Linked DNA regions of Saccharomyces cerevisiae S288C. Changing the gene in region 2 together with the main gene of any one other region gives a genetic interaction. Each region holds a gene or a part of one and is shown on either strand. Other genes may lie near its edges.

Region 1 (3,502 bases), 200 kb from region 2:
TAAACTAACGCTCCTGCTCTCTTTCATATATCAACAGATAGGTCTGTTGATTGATTCAAATAAATTTATTTTCCTTATGTGCGCCATAATTATATGACCCTATAAGCTGCCGATAGCGGATTTTCTGTTCTCTATGGGAAACTCTGTAGTTTTCTTTTTTTTAGTTTAGTTCGTTCCCAAAAATGGAAGAACGTCAAAACAGTGATCTACATTAAGCTGAGGCGAAAACACTAAACGAGGAAAGTTATACGATGGCACAGGAACAAAATAGAAAGTATGTATGACGTTGAAGGCTGATTAAAGCATTGAAAGGGGAAAAATACTTGTGAACTAAAAAATGTACATATTACGATGTCGAAATATAAGGAAGTAAAAATGCTGTCCGGTTCTTTTGAATAGGAGAAAAAATAAACAGAACATAGTCGGGAACTTCGAGAAAAAAAGTAAGAATTGAAAAATGCATATGAACGATCAGATTGACATTCAAATTCTACGTATCACTAAAGTTTAGCCTTCTTTTTAGAGGAAAACAAGTTAGCTATTTTGGACATGAATTGTTTGAAGGTGCTAATCGGGTATTTCATGCTTGCTTGGAATTCCTCCTTTTCAATATCAAATTGTTTTGAATCCGAAGTATCTAAGATATCTTCAACATCGTCAGTATGTGGTAAAGTTTCAGGATCAACATGGCCCGGTGTGATTGGAATCGAGGTGCTTCTACCTTTAAACGCAAATCCAGGGTGGAAGATGGTCAAAGTGACCGTAGCGATGGCCATCATTAATGCATCTAAGATAATAAAATACCACTCGTGTGTGATCAGATAGCCATCCCAACCGACAACTAATTCAGCCAAACGGTAACAACAACGGGTAAAAATGGTTAGTACCGCAACGGTTATTGCCAGATTAAAATAATGAAAAACCCAACGTTTAGGTTCGAGTCTCAAAAAATGGAACTTTTCCCTGTATAAATAATCAACTTCTGTTTGCGATATCTTTAAGAGGCTCAATGAGATAGGTCTAGAATTTATGTGTTCCCATCTTACCGATATATATATACGGAAAAGGAAGTGAAACCATAACATAAGAAAGATGGCCATCGATGCAACTTGAATGGCCAAACCAGCAATGAAAACATGATTGCCGGTTGTTGTGGACGTTCCATCTGTGACCGCCACACCACACAGGCCACCGCCTACAGCTTGCACCACAAGCGATACGATATCGGAACATATGAAAATAAAAGAATACGCCATTGGAGAGGGCAATAAAGAGAACCTGTGGCCGTATACTTCTATAAGCTTTGCAAGTTGATAATAAATACCACCCATTGTGAAAACTGGTGCAATAGTCAAACAAATCATGTTCAAAAGAAAAGCGTCCATATCGGCGACATTAGAATGCGACCACGTCCTCCCTATAAATCCAAGAACTTCCAAAATACCTGTGCATATAAAAGCGATTGAAAACCAGTATTGGCGCATCAGTAACTGTACGACATGTATTGTCAGTAGTATACCCCAAATGACAATCATCGTGATATTAAAACGAAGGTTCGGTACCATACCACCATAAAGGGAATTACTGTTAGCTGCTGCTTCTAACTGTGGCAAAAGACTGCCTAACGTATTATTTGTTGCGTTGGACATTTTGAATTTCTCAACGTCTATAATCAGAAAAAAAGTACTGTGAGAAATCTATTTTAGAACAACCAGCAGTAATTAGTTACGCCCTTAGTATACTATTGCTTGAACTGCTAGGAAACCAGAGTTTACGTAGAAAAGTAATGAATTTTAAGTCTACTACTGAAAGAAAAAAAAAAAATACTTTACTGTGCAAGCGACAAGGAAAACTCTTCTTATTTCTATTGATTCTGGGGTCGACTGCAAATAATAAACCTTATATAGTGTTTTGCCCATCAGCTCAACTGTTTTAGGTGAAAATGGGAGGCACACCAAAGAAAAATAAACAGGGCAAATTAGAGCTCCGTGGGTACAACCGATCAGAATCACACCTATTCCCTTTTAGAGAGCGAGATAGCGAGAAAAAGTCAAGAGCTTTTCGACATTTGCGGAAAAATTACGGGGGATGCTTACGTACAGCTAGGGGGCGACAGAACCCTCAAGGCATGGCCGTGCAGCACTCGCACAGGACTTGGTGCAAGAAGTTCGGTTACTAATGAGAATGTCAACTATCGGAGCTGCCACAACTACTAGGCAACGTCGTTTTCCAGTGGTCCCTGACATATCAATTGCCGCACTGTCACTGTGCGCAAATATAATAGGAAACAGAGGACCGACGGAGACCATATCTTTCCGCGGAAAAAGAGTCCGAGCGAAGTCCGGAAGGAAATATGACGGAGCAAGAATGCTTCCGCGGATGTAAAAGATTGTGCTATGCTCTGGATTGCCCTCTCGGAGAGTTTTGTTGGTTTGTTTCACTGAAGCCATTGATAATAAACTCTTTATTGGGTGATGACGAGGCTGAGCACCAAAAAACCTAAAAGGAAACCAAAAGTTTAACTCATTAAATAAGTTGTGACTATATTTCAACACGCGCTCTAATAAATATAGCCTTTCTTTTAGCTTTTCTATAAAACTAGATAAAAATAGTAATTTTTGAGAGTACTTAAGGCAACAGAAGGAGTGAGTAAAAATAAAAAAGAAGCGTGGATGCGCTCAGCCTTGTAAGAAATTGTCCAGGACATCTTGAAATTTACCATGAGAAGCCTTGTTTGCTTTGCCTAAGATTTCTTCGGCGGTTTTGTAAGCTTCTTCTTGTTCAGCACTTTCATTGTCAAGCAGGTTACCTAGGTCAATATATGCTTCGGCGACTTGAACCCAGGTGTCCGGATCATCCTCCAGTTTAGCCTTTTCCAAGTATTCTAAAGCCTTTTTTGTGTGCTTCAAAGCGGTTTCTTGGGCGTTCTTGGCTTCCTTGTCGCTAACCTTTTCAGAACCGCCATCATCGTACTGTAGGCTTAAGAAAACTTTACTTGGTTCTTCAGCTTTTTTTAGGTATAGTTCCCCTAGGGTGTTAGCTATTGATGCATAGATTTTCACATCTGTATTTGTGTTGTCAAGCAATTTATCAAAATGGTTTCTTAGCCACTCGTAATTCGCTTCTAGCGATTGTTGTAGGGGATATACAGGGTGTTCTGGTTCCAACTCAATATCAATGAGTTCCTCTTCCTCTTCATTATCGCTATCTATGCCCTCTTGAATAGATTGTTCGCGACCAAAATTCTCGACGATGTCCAATAAGTCATTCACCATTTGTAGGATTTCAAAAGTAAATTCAGTATCGTTTTCATAAATTGAAAAATGCTTCTTACCATGTTCAAGCTGTCCTACAAGATCAAGTTTTTTATCCTTCGATTTCAAATGGAGATTGGAAATATATTCCAACGGAATCCTTTGGAAAATTATCTTTGCTAAAACTAGTTTTAGAAATTGGGATTCAGGGAAATGCGAAAGACCTAATTCGACTCTTTCGATAGCAC
Region 2 (7,136 bases):
CGACTTGACCTTCTTCCATTCGTCGAACGATAAAAATGAATTACTCGAATCGCCCGGATTCCTTGGTGTTGCAGGCTGTGTTAGTGCATCTTGCTCTTTCCTCTCACCGTTTTCCCGTATGTCAGCCTGCCGTATGTCAACTTTAGAGGCCTGTCTAAAATCATGGGTTCTTAAAGAACCGGTGGATAGTGGTGAGGAATGTTCTTTCTGCACGTTCGTTGTACTTCCAGTCGTGATCACAGTGGTATCATGTAGACCAATCTTCGCATTTTGAGCAGTTTTGTTCCTATCTAATGCAAAAGATCCGATTATACTTACCCACAAAATAAGGCCGTATATGAGAAGACGGTTCGCCATTCGGACAGATAATGATATAATATATCTTATATTTTAACTATATCCATTGCGTCCTTTCTTTTTAACCGTAAGGCACAGTTAAGAAATAATGTTTTCACACTAAATGCTGATGCCTATAAAAAAAAAGTACCGATGAGATAACCTAGGAATAAAATTCTCGGAATTCTTTCGGACATTGAACTTTGATTTATCAGAGCTGGTAAATTCAAGAAAATTGAAATGTAGAAAGCTCGCTGAATTAAGAAAAAAAAAATAAAAACTTATTATTACGCACCTATATGTAGTGATTATGTATGTTTATTAAAAAAGTCCATCTTGGTAAGTTTCTTTTCTTAACCAAATTCAAAATTCTATTATTTCTTGGAGAGTTTACCGTTCTTTTTAGGCACTCTTGCTAACCAGTAGAAAAAGACACCAGCGATATAATTGAATGCAATATAACAGATGAAGATACCATAATTTCTCCATCTCTCACTGTAGAAAGAATTGACATTAGCTAAGTAATCATTGGTTGTAGATATTTGACAGAAACTACAGGTGTCAGTGGCATTTTCATCAGTTAAGTAACCAGTCTTTGCTAGTTGTAAATATGGTTCCATGTACTGCCCACATGTCATACCGGATGGTGGTGTGAATTCTAGCAATTCGTAATCAGCGCATTTGACGTCTACGTTAGCAACACCAACAGCCAACAGAGCCTGAATGAAATAAGTCAAAGGTGAAACCCTGTACATGAATATCCAAAATCTAGGCATGGCACTTGGGGTAGTCATAACACCACAAAAAGACAAAGACATTGTAAACAACAAAGAGGCTAAGTTAGCTGCACTTTCTGCAACTTGGTTGAATGAAATGACAAGCAGACCCATAGAACCAACATAAACGTAGAAAGCACAAGAGAACAACCAAAATAAAGCACCCCTTTCATGCAACTGGCCAGCTGCAGACGCGTTGGAGTAAAATCCAATTGGATAATAGTAGATAAAATAAGCAATAGTACCTGCCAATATATTCCATGGAACTTCCACGAATATTTGAGCGAAGATAAATGAAATCCAAGAAAAAGTCCTTGAGGGGCGTTCCCTGGCCTCATACAAATCTCTTTGCTGGACAAAAGATGGTAGGTATTGTTGTAGAATAGGATTGAAAATAACCGTAAACATGAACACAGCCAACATTTGATTTTGTAAACCCTGTAGCGAGGTTCCTGCTTTGAAGAAAGTGAAACCGATGAACAATTGATTGAAAATAGTTAAAATAAACTTCGACCATAAATAATCTGGAGATCTCCAATATTGCTGGAATAGACGAATACTGACCAATTTTGTTTGATAAATAATTGATTGTGAAAATTCGTGTTTGTCCTCAGCTGCAGTTATCGAACCTTTCTTTGGTAATTCTCTTTCCATCCAATCTAATTCAGATTGAACGGCCCTGTACTCTTCAGAATTCCTCCAAACTTCGTAATAATCTTGATTTGCATGAGAGCCTGGAGCTGCACCAACAACTTCTAGCATCCATTCAGCTGGGTTGGCGTCAGCAGGGCATTTATGAGCACCATGGCTTTCAAAATAATCGATCATAGTTTTACAACCTTCGCCCAAGTCGCCAAAGTAGACAGTCTTACCACCACGTTGCATAAATAGTAAACGATCGAATTCTTGCATCAAAATAGCAGAGGGTTGGTGAATAGTACATAGAATTGCTTGACCATGATTTGCCAACTTTTTCATTAGCTGACAAATAGACCAAGCAGTTTGAGAATCCAAACCAGAAGTAGGTTCATCTAAAAAGACCAACAGTTTTGGTTTGGCAGTTAATTCAACACCAATGGTTAATCTTTTTCTTTGTTCAACGTTTAAACCTTCACCAGCAACACCAACAACAGCATCAGCATATTTTTCCATTTCAAGAATTTTAATAACTTCTTCAACATATCTGTTCTTTTCTTCAATGGAAACTTCAGCTGGTTGACGTAGGTAAGCAGAAAATCTCAATGACTCCCTCACAGTGGCAGTTTTCAAATGCAAATCTTGTTGCTGACAATAACCAATGGATCTTGGGAAAGATTTATCACGGGGAATACCATTGACCAAGATATCACCAGTTATAACACCCATGGTAACCCTTTCGGCCAAACAATCCAGAAGTGTGGTTTTACCAGCACCTGAAGCACCCATTAAAGCTGTTAAAGTACCTGGTTTAACCCAACCATCAACATTGTTCAAAATACGTCTTGTTTCGGCCTTAATCTGAACTTCGTAACAAAGGTTTCTCCAGTGAAATATAGCCTCTGACTTGGATAAACCAATTTCTCCGTAAGTATCGGATTCCTCTTCAGAGCTTTCTTGTAGCATTTTCCTATCGCTGGATAAGTCACTACGTTCCCCAACGTTTTCGGGGTCATTTGCATTCTTTTCAGTTAGTACACCTCTTTTCTTCATTCTTTTAACTATACTGCGTGGGAAAACTAATATTTCACCTTTTTGTTTAGCACCCTCGTTGTATTCACATAAGAATAGATAGACAAAGAAAAAGAAGACGACATAAGCCATACCAATACCGAAACCACGCCATTTGTCTTTGTGGTAGTATTGATAAGTTCCTCTAATGAAATCATCACCCAGAACATAGTCTTGGCCTGGAACAGCTCCAACCACGGTACAAACAGATTCTGTACTAGAAATGTTTGCATACGCAGGACCACGAGGAACATATTCAGCGCAGGGGAATTTTATACCATGAAACTCGTTAATTAACAAAGATTCGAATAAGTAAGCCAACGGATTGATATACCAAATCCATTTAGACCAACGTAGGATCTTCTTCTTAGGAATAGCAAAACCGGTATACATGGATAGAGCCAACAATAACATAGAAGCGGGAACCATAGCTTCTGACAATGTCTTTGTTAAGGAACCAACACATCTAAACAAGTGAGACATGGAGAAAACCGCGACAATGTTTATTAATAAGTAGAAAAAGAATACACCACCATTTCTTCTAAAGTCTACTAAGAAATAGAAGATTATATTGAAGCAAACAGCGATGATTAACTTTGAGGGTATTTCTGATAGAACTGATGCAAAAGCGTCAGCACTTGGATGGTATAACGAATATGTTCTATGTTTTTCAGTGATTGGTCTGGCCTCATATAACGAAAAGATTTCTAACAGAGAAGAAAATGCATTGAATAGAATTGCAAAAAACATAGCAGAACCACGGAAATAGAATGTAGAAGTATCACCCTTTTTCATGATCTTGAAAAACATTGAACCCAAGATTAAAGCCATACTACAGTTACCCAAAATCATAAATAATGTAAACCCGATATTATTTCGCAGTCTCCACATATTTCTGATTAATAGGTATTTAACTTGCATCATGTAGCTGACAGTATAAGGAGAGGAAGGTCTTGCTCTCTTGGACTGCTTAGCAATGTGGGCTTCCTTAATAGCTTCACGGCTTGCTTCATCGTCATTCAATAATCGTTGGTCGACTTCTTTCATTAGCTCTTTGTAATTTGGAGATTTTACCCAGTAATCGTTCATTTCCTTCGGGGTCTGTGGTATATGAATACCTTTTTTTAGCATATCTTTGTTCAGGGTTCTCTCAGAGGGACTTGTAACTGAGGTCAAAAAATCTGCGGTGGTTTGTCTGCTTGGACAAACATACCCCATATCTTCAAAGTACTTCTTGGCCTTATCGGCGGGGCCATAGTAGATCTGATAACCATCATCCAAAACACAGACTTTATTGAACAAGTCGTACGCATCTTGAGAACATTGATAGATGGCCACTGTGGCAGATGTATTGGAAATATCAGCTTGAGTCTTTAAGGCACGAATAAATTCCAAAGCGGTAGCGGAATCCAAACCCCTTGTAGCATTATCCCAGCATTGAAATTTGGATCCACAGATGGAGACTTCAGCAATGGAGACACGCTTCCTTTCACCACCGGAAACACCTCTGACGATGTCGTTACCAACTTTTGTATTCCTTGTATGCGATAAACCGTACGTTGCCATTGCTACTTCCGCCAAATGATTCGCATAACTTTCCCTATCGACACCCTTGATACGGTTCTGTGGGGTTTTCAACCTCGCTACTGTAACCAAAGTTTCGAAGACTGTTAAATGAGGCAGATGTACATCAGCTTCTGCGTTGTAAACAACTTCACCACGAAAATGTTTCTTAATATCATCACCTGAGTAGCCGCTGTAAGAAATTTTAGTATCTGCACCAAGATCAAAACCATGAGTATTTGAAGAGATGGATTTTAATAAAGTAGTACAGCCAGAGCCTGGTCTACCTAAAACGACTAGCAATTCACCTGGGTTTAGGCAACCATCCATTGGTTTCAAGATTTGGAAAGTATTGGTTTCTTTAGAACGTTGAAACTTTCTCAGCCCACTTTTTAGGATTTTGTATGGAATATTAACCACAGTTGACTGATAGGCGACATCTGCGGAAGCACCAGAAGCACTTAAGTTCTTCCAAGCGCAACCTAAGGAATAAGGCTTATAAAAGTCAGGGTCTGCCGCACTTAGGTGAGCCATATTCTTAACCCAGGCGGCACTAGAAAAATTTTCGGAGTTGGGGTCCAATTTTGGGTCATAGCCTGGAGCTTCAGGATCAGAGAATATCGGGTTTACACCTTCCACACCGCTAGAAAATATAGACTGAGCATCACTTTTGTTGGGTGCCGATTGAGTGGAGTTTTGCATACTCTGTGCGGTCAGAGTCCTTGCCAGTTTTTGGATTCGAGCTTCTGTATGCTCATCGAACCCATTATAATTGTGTAGATCAGCAGCGTTTTCAGTAGAAGAAGACGCGGAGGAGTAGCTAGTAACGTCGTTGACGTTATTGTTAAGCTTGGCCTCGGGCATTTTTGTCTAAAGTCTTTCGAACGAGCGGATACGAAAACTTAAAAGGGTCTTTAATTTCTTTTTCGAAAGTTCCTAGTTGCCAATTTATTTATAATTAGAATAACAAAGTCGAGTGATAACTAACACAGTTGTTATATGTTTGCAACTTTGCGTGACTTTTTTCTTTTGGATTTCATTCTAAGGTATGATAATAAAAGCGAACAGCCATAAGGTTATGCACATCACAATTATATATGTATAGGAGAGGCCTTGTTTGTATTGCTCAGATTACGTTCAACAGATATCGTACCACGGCGTAGAAGAGTTCCGCGGAGACATTTCTCTTTTTTTAGCACATTACCATAAGTAGGAATACAGATCTGACCTTTCCACGGAATCACGAGTCCAAAGGGTGCTGAATCGTGATCACGACCCGCGGGTGAGCCCACACTCACCGGAGTCTTAGTAAATCTGAAAATGTTGTGGCACCGCGGCATGAGCGATTCCGCGGAAAGAGAGGGGCAGTCTTAAGTTTCAGTCCACTCGTTCCGTGGGAAGCAATCGACCGAATGGTTCTCCACGGACGTTTTCTCGGCGGCAAGGTTGTGTCGTGATAATCGTTGCATAGATGTGATGGCTTCCTGCAACTTATCCTGTGCTCGAAGGCGCAGAATGCGAACGTTCGCGCTGAGGAACGTTCATGTTCTTTTATTAGTAAGATCATACGTGTGGTGTTGTTTTCCATTGAGTTCCACTCCTGATTGTGTGAAGTGATAAATGTTGTGTACTATGTAAGGGACTGCGCCAACGAGGTGCTGCTTTCTATTATGGCAAATTGTTGCGAGTATGGCTTAATTGTTTATTGTAATAGGTAATTTGATGTTCTTTTTTTTCTTTGATTTGAACTTTTGTTCTCTCTCTCAACTTTTTCTTTTCTTTGTCCTTGTTGATTAGATTGTGACGATAATTTCCTTATAATATCATTGTTGGAATCAAAGAGGAAGACATATTTACGTTAACGAACAAGTTCAGTGAACCATCTAAACATAGAAAGGGGTCCCAGAGAACGCTTCCTTTGTATGATATCTGAAATTTGTCTACTGCATTCAGGCTTATATATATGTGTGTGGTAGCGCCCAACGGAGAACCGTATATGACGGACTTTACTGTGTCACATTTCAGAAAAACAATAAGTGTTTTTCCCTTCCGTAAATAGCACATATTCATTCCTATATCGCCTCTCTGTTTTATGCTCTTTTTTCCCGGGCATTTATTATTACCCGGTATTTCCAAAGATGCGGTTACTGCCCGCGGGTATTGGGCCTCCCTTAATATGCATCGATTTTACTGTTTAAAATCGTACAAAAGATAATATGTGGAAACAACTTTCCTAAGCAGCGAAATACACGTGCAAGAGCAACGTTATATCATTTCGATTTCATTTAATTTGATCTGGCTCGACATTAGTATTTCAAATCGAGGATAAGATTTTTGTAGTGCTCTTTTTTTCTATCTTTTAGCTAAGGTTCCTAACGTTCTTTCTGCTGTGCTTCACTCCACCATAGAAAACTAATGTTTAATTTAATTTTATGGCCCTTATTTTTGCTTACCTCAGTTGCCATTCCTTTGCAGCTGACATTAGAAGTGGTCTATCTGACGTCTTCCGTTGACTTCTCAAAGGCAAGTGCTGCTAAAACCGCTACTTCTTTGGGTCAGTCCCCAGTTGTCATCACCATTTATAAATCACTGTTAAAATATTGGAGTCTTTACGAGTTCATACATTTTATTTACCTCTATACTCCTATTGATGCCTTTCTGAATTTCTTACCATTTACCTCTTTACTTATGTCGTTTGGAAGTATTTGCTTGACAAGAGAGCTGGTATATGACTTCATTGCCTTTATGGAATCT

The links. Genes that interact genetically often act in the same process or in processes that back each other up.
Region 1: of PDR5 (region 2) and RSB1, a mutation in one rescues a mutant of the other (synthetic rescue), as found in Saccharomyces cerevisiae (2 studies listed by BioGRID, with this or other methods).

What each region holds. Positions count from the first base shown.
Region 1 is NC_001147.6:422,168-425,669, forward strand, and holds RSB1 (phospholipid-translocating ATPase RSB1), read right to left. Parts: upstream 1,566-3,502; coding exon 501-1,565; downstream 1-500. Other genes in the region: ETT1 (Ett1p), read right to left, coding at 2,679-3,502. UniProt on the Saccharomyces cerevisiae protein: Catalyzes the ATP-dependent translocation of sphingoid long-chain bases (LCBs) from the cytoplasmic site toward the extracytoplasmic side of the membrane (flip-flop). Involved in the establishment of the functional lipid asymmetry of the plasma membrane.
Region 2 is NC_001147.6:617,950-625,085, reverse strand, and holds PDR5 (ATP-binding cassette multidrug transporter PDR5), read right to left. Parts: upstream 5,247-7,136; coding exon 711-5,246; downstream 1-710. Other genes in the region: SLP1 (Slp1p), read right to left, coding at 1-357; ATG40 (Atg40p), read left to right, coding at 6,798-7,136. UniProt on the Saccharomyces cerevisiae protein: Active efflux of weakly charged organic compounds of 90 cubic Angstroms to 300 cubic Angstroms surface volume.